Rhinolophus ferrumequinum: one gene and its partner. The protein of the gene in region 1 purifies or fractionates together with the protein of each later gene. This does not show direct contact. Links are inferred from orthologs where the notes say so. Each region holds a gene or a part of one and is shown in the gene's direction. Other genes may lie near its edges.

Region 1 (10,317 bases):
ACTCTGACTCTTATTCCCTGAGATTTGCTTCTCCTCTGGAGGAGCTGCAGGTATTTCCATTACGGATGTACATTGGCCTGCATGAGAACGACTGGCCTAAGTATGGCTGCAGAACTCGCCTGTTTTTAGAAGGTGGCACAGCTGAGAAAAGACTGGGACATTACAATCAGACTTTATTGAAATGTAGAGGATAAGAGTGAAATAAACTCATGGAGTAACATGAAGCTGAATATTCATCTTCAGTGAGGAGTCTACCATAGGGACATCTATCTGGTTCGTGACCTGCCTCCAACTAACAGAGCTCATCTTGAATCTCTAACCTCTTGAAACATCGTAAAGAACTCTAAAAGTCCAGATCCTACAAAGTTAGGCATGGAGGAAAAAAAAGGTTCGATTCCATCTTGCTTAAAGCACACTTTCAAATTCTGGTTTCCTGAATGATTTACACATGAAATGTCCAACTTTTTCTTAACTGGCTACTCATGACATGATAAACCTAATGTTGCCTAAGAGATAGTGAACATACATTTGTGCTACAGGATATCATTTGCTTATAAAATACATTTGACCGTAATATATCTATAATTGCTTATTTACACAAGATGGAACTCTAAATGAGGTTTAAATCATTAGCTATATAAATATGACTCCTTTCATACTAATCATGAGTCTATTCACATTCTGGTACGTGTTTTCTAGCCTCTTGTGGTGTGACTCAGATAATTTTGGTAATCAGTTTTTTTATTCTAGTATCCTATTGGTTGTTGCTAATGTATACCTCCCAAGCATTGATACTTCATGATGCAAAAAGTAATCAGAAAAAGAAGTGCTTCAGATTTAACTGGGTAGATTTAAAACTGTTCCTTCAACAAGGGTGCGTTTTATTCATAAGTATGGTATTCTTAAAGTGAGCATTTGTTGTTATTATGGGCTGAATTCTGTCCACTCCTCTCCCCCACCAAATCATGTCACAGGCTTAACCTCCAGTACCTCAGAATGTGACTGTATTTGGAGATAAGATTGTTAAAGAAGTAATTAAGGCAAAATGAGGTCATATGGGTAGGTCCTAACCCAATACGCCTGGTGTTCTTGTAAGAGGCAATTAGGACACATACAGACACAGAGCGAAGACGGAGGGAGAAGATAGTCTCCACAAGCCAAGGAGAGAGGCTTTGGAAGAAACCTCACCTGCCTATATCTTATTCTTAGACTTCTAGCCTTCGTGGAATTGTGAGAAAATTTCTGTGGTTTAAGCCATCCAGTCCGTGGTATTTCTTATGGCAGCCCTAGCAAACTAACACCAACAATATCGAAAACCAACAATATTCCACTGAGTTTTGCCCAGTGAAAAGGCAGCTACTTTCTTTTATCACACTGTTTAAAGTAGCGCCTACAAGGAGCCTCTTTGCAGAAAGTTGTTTGATGTCTCTTTAATAAAAGGGTGCTGTTTACTATCACCCTGGGATAAGTCTTAGGAGGTCAACTGAGCTTCAGATATGCTCAATGTTGGGAGGCTTTCACGGGAGGTAAGTCCGCTCAGAAGTAATTGCAGGTAAGAGTCAGAAACATGGTTTTATTTACCTATTTGGCAATCAAGTCTATAGGGATCCAGCTGCAGAATTCCCAGAATTGACTTGGCCTACATCTGCCATGATTACTTTGGATTGTTACCCTGAGTCTAAGGTAACCCCTTAGGCCTAATCCGCAAATGTTGACTTGTGTCTACTTGGGACTGGACTCTAAAGGTGAAGGGTAGGTCAGAAACTATTAGTTTCCTCCTATTTCCTTAGTGTAATGGCTCGAGACATCTATCTGTATTTCTTATTTCTTTTCTAGAGATTTATCTTAATGGACACTGGTAATAGGAGTGAGGTCAGGGGGTGGGAGTAGGCTATGGAGAATCTACGTAGAGGGGAAGAGGAAGGAGGGAATGATGGAGAGGACTCAATTGGCCTCCCATCCTTATTGAACCTAAAGCAGCTCAGAAAATTCAAATGACCCCACTCCAGTACTCCCATTTTGTGCGTGTTTGTGTTTGAGAATGTCATTCCCCACTACCCCTATATAAATGATTTACACTGAAGAGTTCTCAGGTCCCACCTGTACTTTAACCAGGTTTTTTAGTCAATCCAAACTCTATTGCCACACCTCCAATTCCCTATTCCTTGTTCTTCCTCATCCCTACCTGCCCTGAATTGAGAGCTGACTGTACTTCTATGCCTCTGGGTACATATCTAATATCATACATAGTATTGTCACTGGTGAAAAGGTAGGTTCTGTGACATTAGAATTAAGATTCATACTATTTCTTCCTTTTAACTTTCATAGCACTTGGTAGTTTGTATGCAATATCACCAAGCTACTTTATACTCTAGTAGTTAACATGCATGTCTTATTGTATTCCCACTATGGCGTTAATTTTTTTTAAGGCACGGACACATGACTCATTCACATGTGTATTTTCTCCTCCCATCCCAGCCCTTACAGCTCTCTAACCCCCTCCTCAATAAGAGTGTTTATAAATAAGGAGTTGGGTAGATAGGTGGCCTAGCTATCCTTTCTTAGTCTCTATCTCATTTGTTGAAATAAGTGGGTTAGTATCTAAGGTCTTTTCTAGCTTTAATATGACAAACAATGCTGTAGGTGTACAATTACACATTCCAGAGCGATTTGTAAGTATGTAGTATCTTAAAAAATCATTCAGTATAACCTAAAAAGCAGAGGTTATTCTCAAAAAACAAATAAATAAGAACAATATAGTACAGGCATTGAAAAAATTCATCAGGCATTATTCTAATTTGTGTGTGATCTAAAAAGTAGCATTACTTATTTTAGAGCTCATGCCAAGAGCAAAAACATATTTCATGACTTGTCATCCTTATTTGATCAAGAAACTAAAGACTCTAATGACACAAACATAAAATGGTTTTAAAAAAAATTTGAGTACTTACTATGTGCCACGCTCTGTTCTAAGTCCTTCACATGAAATGATTCATTTAATTTTCATAGCATATCAATGGTGGAGGACGAGACAGGGTCTAAATTTCTAGGCATTCCATATAAGAACTAAATAAAATAGAAAATAAAACTAACTTGTTTAAATTGTGTTAAAGCTACAAAATAATGATTTCTAAGTATAATGAATATAAAACACTTAAGCTGTTTGTCTTTAGTAATTCATTCTTAATGTGTTACCTTGGCTCAAGGTAATTCTCAAACACTATTTCACTATATTAATACAAATTTCACTGGATTCAACAATTATATAATTTTAAGTTTAGAAGTTTAAATATATGTAATATAAAAGTCAACATGTCTTATTTAATCTTATTTATATAAATTCGCGACACCCTGAAAAATGTTACCATTACATAACATAGCAATAACTTAAAAACAGCAAAATCAGGAAAAAAAAAGCTTGATTCACTAGCTAAAATTCTTACAGAATTAATTTGGGAATAAAATCCAAAATATCTTTTTTTTCCCTCACTGAATAACCATAGCATTTTTCTTCTAAATAGACTCAGTCTCAGGAGATAAATTATTCTCTGTATCTTTCTATACATTTAGACTAACTGGGTAGCTTAAAGAATATAAACGGCTTCTCTTTCATTAGTTTTTATTGTAAACACTTCAGTGTTTTCTTCAAAGCTGCTCTTCTGCTAAATGTTTCTGTTTAATTATATTGTTAAAATGAATTTTGGGAAGCCCTTCCATTTTCAACTTATGTTTAACTGAAATATTGATGAAATTAATATAACCTAAAAGTCGTATTTTTTAAAGGGAAACTTGAAGGGGCTTTACCAACTGACGTACAACTATTAATAGTTCAAAGAAATTATATTATCTAGGTTGCTAGGTTGTAATGGAAGTTGGGTTACTAGCTTCACCTAAACAAGGGAGGTTGGCATGTTTGCCTAGCAACAGCCGCTAAAACCTTCTGTTGTGGAAGGTTCCCTAGGAGTGAGAAGGGAGGGGGAGGAAAAGCAGGAACAGATTAATTTGTTTCTCCTAGCAGGGGATTGAGGCTTGGCTGTTTGAGGGAGATGGCCCTTAGGTTAGCACTCGCTAGCCCAATCCCTTTGTGACAGCTAGAAATTTACTCTTTGTAGGACTGGGGTTACTAAGTAGTAGGTTGAAGAGGTTACTGATGTAGTCCCACTTCGAAGGCAGTAATTTCCAATCAATAGGAAGACATCAATAGGTCTTCTAGAAAGAAGCTGAACTCTGGAGTACAGGAGGGTGTTAGCAGCTAAAAAAAACTCTTCCCCGCTCAGAGTTTAGGAAGGTGTGTGATATGTTATTTACAAATAATAAAAACACTATCTGTCATAGTGATTAGATTTATCACGATAAAGGCAGAAGCGTCTCTAAATATAGTCCATTACTCTCCTTGGTAGTGATGTATGCAGTGAACAAAGGACAAGAAAGCAAAAATCTCTGCTCTTGGTCAAGACCTGAGGCAAAAAAAGGGACAATGCAGAGAGGACTATTAACTGGGTGATTATTTGAGGACAATCTCCCTCCTCTATTCCAGACGATTCATTTTGAAATTAGGACTGCATGGTATGAAAAGAATTCCATTTCTCTCCCTTCTTAAAAGCAAGGGTTTGGCTACACCGCGTTGTCTTGCAGGGGTCTCCCATTACCCCATATCAAAATGGCTTCTTCTCCTTGAAGAAGAAACTTGCAGTAATTACGAGGTTAGCGCTTAGATGCAGGAGCTCTTGTAGGGGCCAAGTTCTCCTGTCCTCCCCCCAGAGGGCTCTCACGGTGCCCACAGGCCTGGAGAGACGTTTGGGGGCAGTGAGCGTACTGGCCTTCGGGCTGTTTCACCCAGTTGGGAGGCTGGACTCGTTCGGGACTCTGTGAGAGGGGTGACTTGGGCAAAGCTGGTGTGATGGAGAACCTGGATACAAAGAGTTAAGAACAAATTCTTCTGGGGGGTGTGAGGGGAGATATGGAAAAGAAACAAGAGTGGAGGGACAAGACTGAGAAAGTCAAGGGGGTTGGTAGATGGAGGTAGTGCGGGATTGGATGGAAACGCCAGAAATTTTGCAATTCACCTTCACCGTCTGGCCACCTGCCCGCTGGGCGCAGAGGCGTTGGTGGGGGCTGGGCCAGGCAGACGGATGGACCAGTTCTTCGGCTCAGGGCGTGGGTGCGCTCGGGTCCCGGCGGTGAGCGTCGCCAGCCTCGCTCCCGGCGTCGGGGGCCGGTGACTCAGAGCTTTCCTCCTTAGCCCGCCCCGCCCCGCCCCGCCCCTCCGCTCGCCCCGCCCCCGGAAGGAGGGGCCTCGCCCTGATCTCCGCCCCAGTCTCCGGGGCGGGCCGGAGCCCGAGGAAGAGGAAGGGGACGAGGACAACGAGCGACCGGGTGGCGAAGGAGGAGGAGGAGGAGGAGGAAGGGGAGGCCGACCAACAAGATGGCCCCTGCTGCCGGAGCAGCCTCAGCAGCAGCAGGTGGGAGGCCGGAGGCGGCGCTGGCAGTGACGGCCGTGGCCGTGGCCCGGCGGCCTGGGACAGAGTCAGAGTCGACGGTGGTAGCGGCGGCGGCGGCGGCTGCCGCGGCGGTGGCGACGGCCGCGGGGACTCGGAGCTGAGAGGAGCTGCTGCTCGGACCAGCGCGGTGAGCGAGCGGCGGCGGCGGCGGCGGCGTGGGGAGCGGGGCGGCGCGGCCCGGCCTCGGTCGGGAACAATAGGCAGCCGCGGCGGGGAAGGGGCTGTCCTCGCCCGCCCTCCGCTCCTCGGCGGCCGCGTCCGCCCGCCCGCCGGGCCTCAGGCCCCGCCGGCGGCCGAGGGGCTTGTCAGTGGCCGGCGGCCTTCAGGCCTCAGGCCTCCGCGTGCCGCCTGGAGGGCCTGCCCGGGTGGGGAGGCCGGCCGTGGGGAGGTGCGGACGCCGCCCGGGACGAGGGGAGGGCGAGCGCGGCTTCGGCCCGAGGCTTGGGGCCGGCAGGCTGCCCAGGTCCTCTGTGACTCCGGGGGCCCAGGCCGGGAGGCCACTGCGCCCCGGAAACGCTTTTGGACCCTCAGCTTGTGGGGTGGGGGAGGTGAAGGCGTCTGTAAACAGGCGCCGCCTCTGCCTCCCTCCCCCTCAGGGCAGTTCATTTCCCCAACCCCTTAGGCGCTCCCTTTCCCCGGAGGAATGGGTTTTACGACGTCTATTTCCCTGGAGATGGACCGATATAGTCTTTCTTCCCGGCGGCGATAGGCAAATTGTGTATGCAGGTGTCTTTTTTAAAAAAATATGTAAGTGCAGCAACAACAAATGCAAGGTAAAAGGTGATTAGCGATGGAGGATGGAGAGGGATGGACGTCTATCTACGGGACGTTCCTCTTTAAACACCTCCCTGGGCATCAGTTCTCTCTGAACATCACTTATGCCCACGTCCCGGGTGAGAGTGGAACAAGGACGCTTTTGGAGCAGTCATCATAACTCTTGACATCCCAGAATAGTCCATGAAACTGAAAACAAAGCCTTTTACTGGCAACGCAAAGACAAATTGTAATGTTTGAATAGAACTTTTCTCCAAAGGAACCGTTTTTGAATTATTAATGTGCCGCATAAGACACAACAACAGCTCGAAACGGACCTCGTGGAGCATTTCTTCAGGAGACAGATGCGGTTCATCTGCAGGCTAGAACTTCTTGTGTCCTGTCTCATGTTCTAATTTTGTCGTTCAGTAATTTGCCCTAAAATTGTGCAAGACCAGCCCTGTCCTCTAAGTTTGAAATTGGGTTTCTGAAGCAGATTTGATAAGGTTTCAAAACTTGATTATATTACAATTTTCAAAAACTAGAAACAACTGTTGTTGTTTTGAATGTTTAAACTTATCAAGAGACAGCTGTTCATTATATTTGCCCTACTGTAGTGGTATCTGAAACTTCTACAATTACTATTTCTCCTTAACTTAATTTTTCAAAGGCACCTACCACGACAAATGATGGGGGAAAAATCATTTAAGTTTCTTCTATTCCAGTTTCTACCTAGGTGTGCAGAAATTTATATTAATGTTCTTTGGATGCATCCAAGAAGATTGCTCCACTATTTAACATTCAATTGCATAGTCCATCTAGTTTGTGTTCTTAAAAAGGAAGATTGACCTGTGCTGAGAAGATGCCAGTTAATATCGTTCACCTGTGTTTAGGGTAAATTTCTCATTAGAATTGCCTGTCTGTCGTAATTCAAAGCATTTTCAGGTTACAGTATATGAGGTTTAATGAGTCCTTAGGTCTTCCACAAGAGTTGACAGTAAATAGACTAGCAATTGAATAAACATGGAGGTTGAACTATCTCATTGTTTAGGAGTAAAGTATAGTGGATAAATACGAATGGCTTTCCTTTTATGCATAGATGTGTGGATGTTTTGATTAAGTGAAAGAAAGAACAACTTTCACATGGCTCTTGCTTATGTGAATTTTCTGGGCATAAGTTTCACAAAGGACACCTTTCTCTAAGTGCTCAAATCCATGATTTTTTTAAATGCCAAGTTTTGTTAGATCGATACAGCATGCAAGTAAAGTCTATATTGCAACGATTCTTAAATTTATCTGTGACCCTAACATTGCAACAAATGTAGTAACTTATGAATTTGTAAATTGTAAGTTATTAGCGTGCTTTGTTATGGAAAAAAAATCTCTTGTTGTATTATATTATAATCCTAAATTATCATTTGCCTCATGCCTAATACCATTTTTCTAAAAACAAAGCTTTAAGTGTTAGATTTTGTGTTTGAAAGTAGATGTTGACGCAACAATTTATGGGTCGAGTCTGGGTCCCTATATCTGTTTAACATTGAAAAAGTTCTTAGAGAATTCTGTTTTTGTGTCAAACTGTTTTAAAATGTGATCCCTCAATTGTCATATCATCATTATCAGCGTTTATTCTGATTATTTCAGTTCAGATTTTCTCAAGTGGTGTTGAAGAATTTCCTTGTAAGAAGTTTAGGTACCATAGCTTAGGAATCAGATTTGCATTTACTTGGTAATATTGAAAGTTAATAAATGTTTGATTCATTTCAAAAGATTTGACAGTTGTTGGTTTTTGTGGTTTTTTTTGGCCATAAAAATATTAGTGTTTCAAAGTATATTCGTTGAATGAGTAAAACGTTCCCATTTAATTCTCCTAGTTAGGCTATAATGTTGGCGATATCGTTCTCCTTCTGTATATGAAGACTGTGAGGCTAGGAGAAGCTAAGTAAATAGCAAAAAGGCCACACAGTAATTAATAGGTAAAAGAGCTTACTCAAACCCAGGTCCTGTGACAGATTAGATGCTTCATTACTGCTACCATATGTTTCAAGGTTAAACTTTGAAGCATCTAACGTATTGACAGATTCCTAGTTTTGACCATGAACTATGTCTTGTAATCCTGTATTTGTCTTTAGCCCTAATATCCGTTCTAGTATTGTTATTTGTACCCTGCCAAATATTCACTTACAAGTTTGAGAAAGTATTTATTTGTGTGAATTATGACAGAAATACTTATTTTTGCTTTTAGCAGATCTAAATACTATGAATATAGAAACTCATACCGTTTATATACGACAGATTTGTAGTATTACTATGTTTCATGGCTTTAATTATGTAAGCAGCTACTAAGTTGTGCCTTTGAAATACTTTATGAAAATTTAAAAATGACTTTAGTAACATTCAGTGATATTAAAGTTGGGTCAGCTAGCATTTGAAATTCTTCAGTTACATTTTTTAAAGTCATAAACCATTTAGAATTCGGCAGCGTGTTTTTAATCTCTAGATCTTAGGGCTTGAAATGGAGCTTGATAGGATCTAATCAGGCTACTCGTGCATATATCTTGAAAGTGGTTGGCATCCAATAAGATGAAGAATAAGCTGATAAATGATCCTTGTTTGGTGGACACCTTGGAGCAACATGTTCCTTGGCAGGGTGTACTGACCTGGTTTAACTTCAGCCCTGTCAGTACTCCGGTAGTTCAAGTATTCCTTGGGGTTGGATTCCAGTGGATTTAAATTCTCAGACTGGCCTGCATCAAAATAGTCACAGTAGATTTTGAAATCAGCCTGTTCTGTAGGGTCCTCTTTAAGATCTCCTCTCTTTTGTTTAATTCTGGAGTCCAGGCTGGATTTGGACTAGCCCCAGAGGTTATGACATAATATTAATTTTGTCAGGCATTTATACAAAGGAATTTTTCTCACACCAAAGTTTCTTAAGGTAAATTCTATACATTTTCCAGTGTGGAGTTTACTAATCTGAATTAATGTTGCCCTGAATCTCTAAGACAGCTTTAGTGTCTTTGTTTATATCCATATTGGTCAGACTTGTGCCTGTTTACTTATGTGATATTAGACACTTCTTACCAGTTCACAGTGTTTTCCTGATTGGTTCAGGAAAAGAATTCTAGTACAGATTTTGAGTCTACCTTACATGCACAGTGAAGCTGACTGAAATTGCATTCTGTCTTAGAGGAATAAATGTTTTAAGGTTCATTTGTATTTTTCTTTGAAATTATTTACAAATGTATGTCTGAGTAATATTCTTTTGATGTTTGTCAAGCATTTTAGCGCTGATGTCAGTACACTCATTACTGAGCATATATAGTAGTAATTTAACTTTTAATTCATTTTAGCTCAAAATCTCTAAGATCTAAATAGCATTTGCACATGGTAATGTTTTTGAAGAAGAGTTCTAAAGAGGTCAATTTTATCTGTGTATCTTAACATAATTTTTTTCATTGAGTTTTAATTCATATAAAATGAATCATTTTAAAATAAACATTTCAGTGGCAGTACGTTCACAATTGTTTTTTTTTTTTTTTTTTTTTGCAACTACCACTTCTAATCCCATAACATTTTTATCACCCCAAAAGGGAACTCGACGCATTAAACTCCCCATTCCCTCTCCCCCTAGTCCCTGGCAACCACCATTCTAATTTCTGTCTCTATGAATTTAACAACATTATTGTGAACCAAGACTGAGGAAGAGTGCTATGTATAATTGAAATTGCAGAACAAAACTTTGGGGTATGATTGTTAGGAATCAAAAACCACCTCATTCTTTGCGTGCTTCTCTAAGCACAGTAGGCACACTGCCAGGGACTCTTGATGGAAGAAAAGTTGGAAGACACAGCAATTTGCAGTTTTAGTTTTGATCACTCCAAAGAAATTGTTACTCTCAGACTCATTTATATTTCCTCATTGAGTTGAGAGAATTAACAAAATTTCATTGTTATATACAAATGTGAGCAACTAATATTTAGTCTATCTACAATTTGTTTGCCTTTTGGTCTTAATGTATACAGAAGCAATGGTGGAATATTACCAGACTTATTTGGACTTATTT
Region 2 (10,020 bases), on another chromosome or scaffold:
TAGAACAATCATTTATCTCCTACTTTATATGTTGTGTAAGCTTAGATTTCATTAAATAGGACTTGGTTCAACTGAATAGCTCTACCATGTAGCTAGCTTCTTGCAAGGAAATGGAAGTAGAGATGAATATAATATGGTCTTTGCTTTGAAGGGGTACATGGCATGAAGAGAAAGTCAAGTAACTAAAAAAGGCCAATTCAAGATCCCGATATCATGCATTTCCCACAGTGTTGGGTAACTCAACGACTGCTTTTGGTGAACTTTGCAAATAAACGATTCACAGGTAGTTAAAGATTGTAGGAGAATAGATAACTTCCCCTTCTCATCTAAACCTCCAGGAAATATCAGGATAAGACTTTTAAAAAAGCAAATCTAGAGCTGTGCAAGAAGGCAAATAGTACCGTAAGTAGACAAGAAATTCTGAGGAATCCCTGAAAGATAAAAATGATGGCATTAGATTTAAGGAAAAAGGAAAGAAAAAGATAGTAAATAAATGAACTATGACAATCCAGAATGTAAGACCAATGCATAGGAGGAGCAGTTTGAAGGCCCTCCAAGCCCTTGAACCAAGTAGATGCAAACCTAGTGTGGGGGCAGAGCAGGAGCATTTCTCAGGGTAATAAATGGGGAGACATGGGTAACAGCACATAGACTAAAGCACTGTCCTCTTTTCCCTGCCTGTTCAAACCAGGAACCAGCAGTACTATCTGCACCTGGAACAACAAACACAGTGAGGTACCTCTGAGGTAGCAGTGCCTAAGGAAGCTACTACTGTGTTTCCCCGAAAATAAGACCTGGCTGGACCATCAGCTCTAACGCGTCTTTTGGAGCAAAAATTAATATAAGACCCGGTCTTATATAATATAACTCTCCAAGGAAGTTATAAGGCTAAAGGTTTGCGTAATCAGAAAGAACAACGGTATCCAGGGACTGGCAACAAAAGAAAAATCTCAAAATAAAAGACTATGGAGATTGGCACTATTATTTTTAAGATACAAAATAACTGTCATTTACAGAGTACCTACTGTGTGCCAGATAATATTCTAGTTTCTTTATATGTATCATCCCTAAAATCCTTCAAAATAGGCACATTTCATTTGTGAATAAACTAACTCTTCGGAATGGACTTGCTTTCTGAATGGAAAGTTAGAAGTAGTCCTGCCAGAGACAAAGGAGGTGTAAACAGGCTTGTGAGAGATTTGCAAACAGTAAGTTAGCGCTAAAAAACAAAGGCTCCAGGCACACAGACTCTACGCAGTGGAAAAAGGAATGTATTTTGTAATATGCTTTCTATGTGCCAGATACGCTAATAAATTATTTATCTTCATGTATTACTTAAATATCAACAATTCTACACAATAGGAATCACAATTCCTGATTTTACAGATGGGAACTGGAAGGCTCAGAGAAGCTTTGTAACTTACTAAGAGGTCATGTTGCTATTATAGTACTATTTATTAGAGCCAGAATTGAAATCCATGACAGTCTAATTACAAAGCTTTCATTCACTTAAGTCAGGCTGCTTTTCCCAACGTCAGTATTTTTGCTTACTTCTACTTATGTTGCTCAAATTCATTTTGTCTTTTATCAAGGAACCTGAGGAACCTACGGACTTTCACAGCCGGGCAGGGCATTAAGAATTCAGGTAGTCAATCTTCCCATCTCAGCAGACCTAAGGTTATGTGAACATCCAAGGTTCACTGCTAGTTAATGATATACGTCAGCATCGCCTGACTTCTGGTTCAGGGCTTCTTTCATTAAGACTATTAGTTATACCAGAGTAAATAAACAAAAGCAATTCTGATAAACTTTAACTCACAAATTAGATTTTCTTATTGAATATAAAATAAAATTAGCACCAGAATTACCATGTACTTGATTATTAAAATGAATGCAGAAATCCTTTACTTGAGAGAGCTAATCTCCCTAAGTAAAAGGTAATAAAGGATTATTTGTATAACTTTGAATTTACATAGTTAATTACAGATAATAAGTACCATTTACAACATAGCTCCAGGTTGTGGTTTTCCAACTAAGGAAATAAAATAGTAATAAAAATAAGCTAATTAACTTTAGATATTGTGAGAGAAGAAACCAGGACAGTTAGGATGGTAACTGTTAAAGACTATTAGTTTTTGATATTTCTTGATTGCAGGGGCAATGCAGGGAAATACTTAACAGCTTCACTTCTGAAGAATCTTTAAATATTGGGATTAGTGTCACCTGGGATATTTCCAGGTTGAAAATAGCTATTAGGTTGGTGCAAAAGTAATTGCAGTTTAAAAGGTTAATTGCAAAAACCGCAATTACTTTTGCACCAACCTAATAAAAAAGTGACGGTTTATTACATGTGCTGCCGAAGCGAGCGATGGTTTATTAAGCTTACACTGCAAGAAGCCCAGAGACAGGAAGGTCCCAGAATTGGTTAATTCAGCATCACAATATTAGCACAGGCATTCCATCTTTCTACTCTTCCACAGTCAATACAGTCAGCTTGTATTCCTTCCTGATCCAAGCAGTTCCAGATGTCCCAACATGACAACAATATCCAAAACATAAGAGAAACATCTTTTAGACATCTGTATTATTGAGAAAACATATTGAGCAGCTCCGCAGCAGACTTCGACTTCTCCTTCAACTCCCACTGACCAAGGTTAAGAGTCCTGCTTTCAAAGTAACACACACAGGGCATGAAACCACCATCACTGGCATAAACAATCATTTACCTTCTGCGGTTGAAAGAGCATAGCCTCCATTGAATAAGTATGTGGTCTTGCAGGCCCAGAACCCAGATAAAAACAAGTGTTCTTCAAGAAGTCAGGGGAAATGGATATGAATGGGAAGCTCCCTTCGAGTGAGCTTCTTTAGGAAGTAGTAGAAACAGAATTAAGTTCTACTCCTGCCCAGAAAGTCAGGAGTTTTAGGTGGTAAATTACATAGTATGATGACTGTTATTCAGAAAGCAGAATATATTACTAGAGCCTAATCTATATAACTTTCAATTTCCATTTTACAGCAAACGTGCTTTGGTTAAACACTTTTTTTTTTTTTTTTTTTTTGGTCATATGACAGTTTCCTATTTGCCCTGCCTCTCCAGTAAGACTTAGATGAGGAAATACACATAAAATTTAGCTAACCTTTAGAAGAGTCCTGAGGGAGATGAGGAAAAATTTTTTAAGGTAACAAAAAAAGGAGTTTACATTTAGTAGAGAAAGGGAATTAAACAAGCTCTTTCCCAAAGTGGAATTTTTTTCATTATAAGGAATTGAAAGATAAGACTTGGAAAATAGATGAGAGAGAATGGGGTGGGAAAAGGTTCTTGAGGGCAGGCAAAAAAAAAATGAGATACTTTCACTGGCAGAAAAGAGCTGTTGACCTTACCTTTGGAGCAGGGATAGATATGATAACTGAGGGAGGTGGGCTGCATAAACAGGATATTGATATTCATAATTTAGAAAGTTTTTGTAATATTCATGAAAATAAAATACCATTCAAAACATTCTTTCAACTTTTAGAGTGTACCTTCAGAATAAGCACACAGTGTCCTTCTATACAAAATTCTTTAAATATAAATTGTATACTGCACAGATTATTTTTACCAGCTAGCTTTAAAATGTATGTCATGAGTTAAAAGGGCAGATTTAACAAAATAGGTGGATATCATTTTTTCTGGAATAGTACCATTCCCTGAAAACTGGAGGTATATGACCTACTTACTTAATTATCTCCAGAATTCCAAGTTTAGTTTATAAATGTGTAACATTTCAATAAAATAAAAGTTCAACTATTTTCATAAAAGAACTTAAAGGAAGAAAGAGTCCTTAAAATTAGATGTTTATAACATTACAAAATATGTAGATAATGTCACATGATCAATTATATGTCCAAAATTTCTGGCTCAAGAAATAAAAGTGATCCTTTCTGCATTTGACTCAAGAGCAGTTCCTTTCTGCAAATGATCCTTTCTGCATTTGACTCAAGAGCTGATGCTCTTACCAATTCCAGAACTCCTTAGATTAGCAATTCCTGTTTTAGAATCTTATTTGGGAAGTCAAAAAAAAATACATAATACATTCCAAATTGATCACTTCTCCTATTTACCAGCCTTAGCAGCAAAGGACTTGAAATATTTCAAAAATTCCACTCCAACCTCAAAGAACAAAAATTTGCCAGCAGTGACAATATTTAACACAATATACTAAAGGCTTAAAAACAATTAATTCCAAAGGTGTGGTTCTAAGAAGTATTTTGGCAATAGTAGTATTAGTTTAGTAGATAGTCTTCTAAGGTGACACTTTTTAAGAGGACAAACTTTTGTTATGTTTGTTAAAAATGAAGCATCTCTTGTGAGAGTAGCTCTTACAGGTTAGTGCGGAACACTGTTTAGAAGACTTCTAAGAACTCTATGAACTCAATTTTCCAAATAGAAAGCCACCATTAGATCAAAGAGTATACCACTCCTTCCTGTTAAATACCACAAATTTTCATCTTTTGAAAGTTCTGAACAAGCAGAACAACTGAGGCTAAAAAAACCAAGAAACAGCCGAAGTTTAGACAGCAATAGGCCTTATTTTAGCGAAATTGATTTTGCAATGAATTTTTCTTTTAACTATCTAATTTAAAACTATTCTATACTATAACTTACTTGCTTGGGAAAATATTAATGTAACAGATAAAATGGCTCCTAATAGTTCAATACTTAGTCGATTTTATTAACTCAGGATATATATTTTTAAAATGTATGAATAGTTTATTTTAAAAAGGGTTATAGTTGAGCGACGTTAACATCTTTACATTAAAATACATGTTATGACACTATTAAGTACATATACTTGCATAATTCATATAATATAAAGAGGCAGTTCTAATTTTTGAAAACCATTAGAGGCCACAGATATGTGCAATATAAAAGGCGGCAGCCATACCAGATTACAATAAAAACAACTGAAATCACTTGAATTGCAAAATATTTCTAATCTGACCACGAAGAAAATGAAAAACTCATAAAAGACAACAGAGCAGTCAGGATGAATATAAGACAACTCCTGAGTGTGGAAACAGTGAGGAATGTACAGAGTGGTAGTTGCCAGATACAAGGACGTTGTTGGAACAGCGTGAATCTTAAATTAGAGACTTAAGAGGATTGAGTATGTTTCTCCCAGAGAACTCGCTGATAAAAACTTTGGCTTCCCTCTCCTTTGCTGTTGCAGTTTTTTTTTCCCAAAAATTTTCCACTCTTTGTGAAACGTGGATATTATTCGTCACAATTCTTTTTAGCCAAATAGATTATTTTAACAATTTGGCTAAAGCGGCAATCAGCAGGCGAAAGGAAAGATTAGTGAGGAAGAACCTGGAAAGGAATGTTGGATGTAAACCATAAAAGAGATTAGTCAGCAGCGATGTGTCAGGAGGAATGAACAAGTCAAAATTAGAAGAGCTGAGCAGTGTTGGAGCAAGAGGGAGGGACCTGGAGGGTCCAGAGGAAAAATCCTGAACATAGGTCTGAGATGGCAGAGCAAATGTGAGACCTAGTACGAAGGGAGGTGGATCAAAATGAGGCAGCTGCTGGAGAGTCGGCCTGAGAAACTGTGAGTGTGATTAGGACCAGCCCGCCCTCCTGCCCTACTTTTTCCTCCTGTCCGAGAGGCAGCGACCAGTCACCTGGAGTGTGAGTTCCGGAGGGACTCGATCAGGCGCTGCTTCTGCTGTTGGAGGCTGGTGAGGCCACCGGGGGAGCCAGCTGCGGAGGAGGAGGCGCTCTTGGTCAGCGGGAAGAGCCAGCTCATCCTCCACGGGTCCCCGGGCCCGAGGCCCTAGACTGTTCTGGCCTGCTTCTCCCAGCTACTCAGCCCGGTGGTTCTCCAGCGACAGAAGACCAAGGCGCCGGAGGCCGGGGCTCCAGTGCTGGGCGGCCGCGTCTTCTCTAAGCAAGCCCGGCTGGGGGTCCTCGGGTTTTGGGGGGTATGCTATGACTACAGGTAACTGGAGAGAGGAAACTTGCCGCCCGGAACAGGCAGCCCTACCTTGGCGGCCCTGACGCCAAACCAGCCAGTCAGGCAGCTTCACAGCCCAGAGCTTTAACCACCCCAGCCTCCGTCACCTGCGTGCCCCGCCCCCTCTGCGTGTCGCGTCATCATCTAGCGCCCCCGCCAGGACGTTACGAGAAGCGACGGCGCAGCACGGTGCGGAGCAGCTCCGGCTCCCCTTTCCCCCTTGCCGGGCGAGCGGTGTCTATGGGGCATCCGCTGCCGCCGCCGCCGCCGCCGCTACCGCCACCGCCACCGCCGCTGGGTGCTGTCTCTATGGCGAGGAGGAGGAGGAGGAGCGCGAGCTCAGTGACACAAGTAGATCTTGCGTCTGCCGCAGACCTGCGGGGGGAGGGGCGGTTTGGGGAAGTAAAAAGGGGGTGGGGACGATGAACCTGAGAGGGTGCGCGATGGCGCCAGCTGGAGCTTGGCTGGCGAAGGACTGAGTTGGACGGCGGGCCGAGGCGGGGGAGGGTAACTGGGGCTGGGGTATGTCAAGGAGTTGGCGCGGAGTGATGACGTAAAGGCTTTGTACCTGGAGCTTCGATATTGTGGGATGGAAATTGGGGGTGGAGGGCGGTGGCCTTCATGCACAGCTAGCTCCACGTATTCCTTCGCGCACCAGTGCTTGGGAATCAGTCTGGCCCCAATGAATCCTTATCAGCACCTTCGCGCTGGCTCTGTGCCAGGGAAGGGAGTTAACTGACTTGAATGCTTCTATACTGTCCTCTCTCGTTTCTTTGGGAGCCTGCAGTACGGAGACTTTACCTACAGTAATGAGAAGGTTTCTGGTGCCTCATCGGAGCTTCTGGAACCGTGGTAGAGAGAGATGAAGTAAAGCAATGTTAAACAATAGGGTCTTTCCAAAGTGTGTGTGTGTGTGTGTTTCTTTCCAATGTGTGTGTGTGTGTGTTTAGCGTAGTGGACAGGGTTATAAAAGGGAACTCCCCTGGCTCTTAGAGCACTCGGTTACATTTGTTACTGCAGCGTTTAGAAGGGGGAGTAGTGTAATTCCCTCTTTTACCTTTGTTAAAATTTTTTCAAACTCCTTGTTTGAAGAATTTCCTTGCTCAAGAATCAAAATGTTGGTCTGTACTCTTATCATCATATACTATGCGACCAGTATTTATGGGCCAGAGAGTTGAGATTTATGTTTGGTAACCAGGGAAAATGCTCTTGAGTTTTAGGAAATTAGAAACAGTTTGAAATATGGACACACTATTTTCTCCTTTCTCTCTCCTGCAGTTATGAACATTCAGTCTCTGTGGCTATCTGTTACAGCTTTTTGTTGGTTTACTTTTGTCCCCTCCAATCTGGCTTGAATAAATGCCAGTAAAGGAGATTTTGTAATCAAAACAGATTTTGAATGTTTTGTTAATGAGGAATAAAAGCAGACATTATCTCTGTCCTAGTAGCATCTGATAGTCTCACATGTATATCAGTATTTCACCTTTCATATTTTGTCTGGAAATGGATGTCTTTACAAAGTTTTATTCAGAGAGTCAGTTGAAGTCACAGCAGTCTGTAATTATTGGAAAGTTTTAAGAAATGATTAGTATGTATACATAAAAAATACTATTTTTACGTAACATTGGTATTAGAACCAGGAAACTTGTGTTGTGGTCCTTTTTTTCCTACTGATTAGATGTGTGACTTTAGAAAGGTCACTTCCCAAACTTTGATTTTCTTATGAATCAAAGACTTTGAATAAATAATCTTTTAGGTTTCTGTCAACTCAATTATTCCATAATTTCATTTTCTGATACAGCTGGGTTTTATTTTGGTTTTTATTATGACAGGTACACAAATAAAGGATAAAGTATTTTATGAAACAAATCTTCAATCAAATATAATATTTTGATGCTTGGCAGCTAGACTTCTTGTGCCCTCACTATGCCAGCAGCAACTGTAGATCATAGCCAAAGAATTTGTGAAGTTTGGGCTTGCAACCTGGATGAAGAGATGAAGAAAATACGTCAAGTTATCCGAAAATACAATTACGTTGCTATGGTATGCCTGTGATCAAATATCCTTAAAATACTTCTTATAAAAGGGGAAGAAGGATTTTTAAAGTCTTGAATTCGGCCCTTCTGGTTGATTTTTTTTTTCCCATGGATTTTATTATGAAAATTGTCAGTATCCTCCAACCAAAGACCACCTGGATCACACCTGTAATGTGACAAGTTGGGTTGATTTACTCACTGCGTGAGGGAAAACGCATACCTTTGGAGGATCTGGGGGCATTTGAATAAGACTGTGTTAAAAAGGACTTTTGTGTCAGGTGGTTTTAGGGAGGGATGAAGGAAGCCAGACTTTGCTCTGGATTGGATAGTGTCATAAAGCTGGGTAATTATATGATAGGGTATCTTAAGTCTTAACTACATTGAGAGAAGATGAGAGTGAAGCTAAAGCTATAAAGAAGCAACAGTTATGTTTTTGTTATTTTAGTTATGGTAATAGAGTGGCCTTGTCTGGTGTTGAAGTGTGAAATTGTTTATATTGGACAGAAGAACATTAGGACCTAGCTATGAGTGCCAGGTCAGCACCTAGCAACACTAAGGCCTAACTGATAGTACCAGATGAGCTCCTGTAAGCTAGGGAACTCTTGGATGTCTTTCTCAAATAAAAAAAAATCAGCTTCCCAGTGAAACATTGTTGATCTGCAGTTTTTTGTTTGGTTTTTTAATTTATTTTAGTTATCAGTGGAGTTTCATGAACACACTGCTTTTGCATATACTATTCAATCTGCCTGGACTGTCTACTCAGTTAATTATTTTGCTTCTTTACTACTGTATCTCATACATCTGTTATAGCCACTCTACCATTTTCTAGATAATCAGCTTTGTGAAGCAAAGGGTTAGTATCTTAATCATCCTTTGTCCTTCTGACATCTAGCATAACATATTAGCATCCAATAAAGTCGTTGAGTTGGACTGAATTTAGAGAAGTTTCCATTTTTTTACTCTTTATGATAACTTGGTATTTAGATTTTGTTCTTAGCTTCCTGATGTATCCTTTTCCCAGTATTTTTAATATAAATAAATATGCTCTGTGGGAAGGGGAAGGTTGATTGGTTGAAATACGAATATTTAAGTGTACATAGATAATGTTCTATTTAATAAATCTGTACTTACTCATAGTTAGAATTGAATTTTTTTTTTAATCCAAAAGAAGTTGATAGTGATCAGTTATTTCTTAGATAATAAGGAGTGACAACATTAGAGACATGATAGCATTCTACAGGAATGAGTGGGCAGCATACAGTTTTTGACAGCATGCTTTCTCTGGAGTATAGAGAGAATGCTGTTTAAGTCCAAGAAATTAGGAGGGTTTTGGTGTTCAGATAAACTTTGCCTGAGAAAGTCATTAGAAAGTATGACGCCTTTCCATTCTTTTAAACTAGTTCTTTGTTGCTTTTAACGTTAGAATAGCATAGTTTCACATGCTCCTGGAGAAACATGAATTTATTATTTTCCCTCTTTCTTGGGCATAGAGTCCTTGATTGCATTTATCATTTGTATCTTATACATAGTAATTTTTACTGATGTAATATTTAAAGTAAGAAAAGTTCATTAAGTTTGTAGAGTTTTATTTTATGGTTCCAAAAAGTAATGCACTTACTAGTTAAAGGTACTTTGTAATGGAATAAAAGGTACTTTGTAATATGTAGATAACAACAGGATTCTTTGACTTGTACTACCAAAATTAATTATTCTAGGATTTTGTGGTTTGTGGTTTTTAATAAATAATGAGTTTTAAAACTATTTTACAGGACACCGAGTTTCCAGGTGTGGTTGCAAGACCTATTGGAGAATTCAGGAGCAATGCTGACTATCAGTACCAACTATTGCGGTGTAATGTGGACTTGTTAAAGATAATTCAGCTAGGACTGACATTTATGAATGAGCAAGGAGAATACCCTCCAGGAACTTCAACTTGGCAGTTTAATTTTAAATTTAATTTGACGTAAGTGGGAAATAAATATAACCCAAAC

The links. Proteins that work in one complex are often made in the same cells at the same time.
Region 2: the proteins of RC3H1 (region 1) and CNOT7 purify together in Homo sapiens (affinity purification with mass spectrometry; 5 studies listed by BioGRID, with this or other methods). This does not show direct contact. The link is inferred for Rhinolophus ferrumequinum from reciprocal best matches to the Homo sapiens genes RC3H1 and CNOT7.

Annotation. Positions count from the first base shown.
Region 1 is NC_046305.1:8,831,407-8,841,723, reverse strand, and holds the start of RC3H1 (roquin-1), read left to right. Parts: upstream 1-5,388; 5' UTR 5,389-5,628; intron 5,629-10,317. UniProt on the Homo sapiens protein: Post-transcriptional repressor of mRNAs containing a conserved stem loop motif, called constitutive decay element (CDE), which is often located in the 3'-UTR, as in HMGXB3, ICOS, IER3, NFKBID, NFKBIZ, PPP1R10, TNF, TNFRSF4 and in many more mRNAs.
Region 2 is NC_046287.1:72,512,185-72,522,204, reverse strand, and holds the start of CNOT7 (CCR4-NOT transcription complex subunit 7), read left to right. Parts: upstream 1-6,114; 5' UTR 6,115-6,344; intron 6,345-7,825; 5' UTR 7,826-7,919; coding exon 7,920-8,036; intron 8,037-9,798; coding exon 9,799-9,992; intron 9,993-10,020. UniProt on the Homo sapiens protein: Has 3'-5' poly(A) exoribonuclease activity for synthetic poly(A) RNA substrate. Its function seems to be partially redundant with that of CNOT8.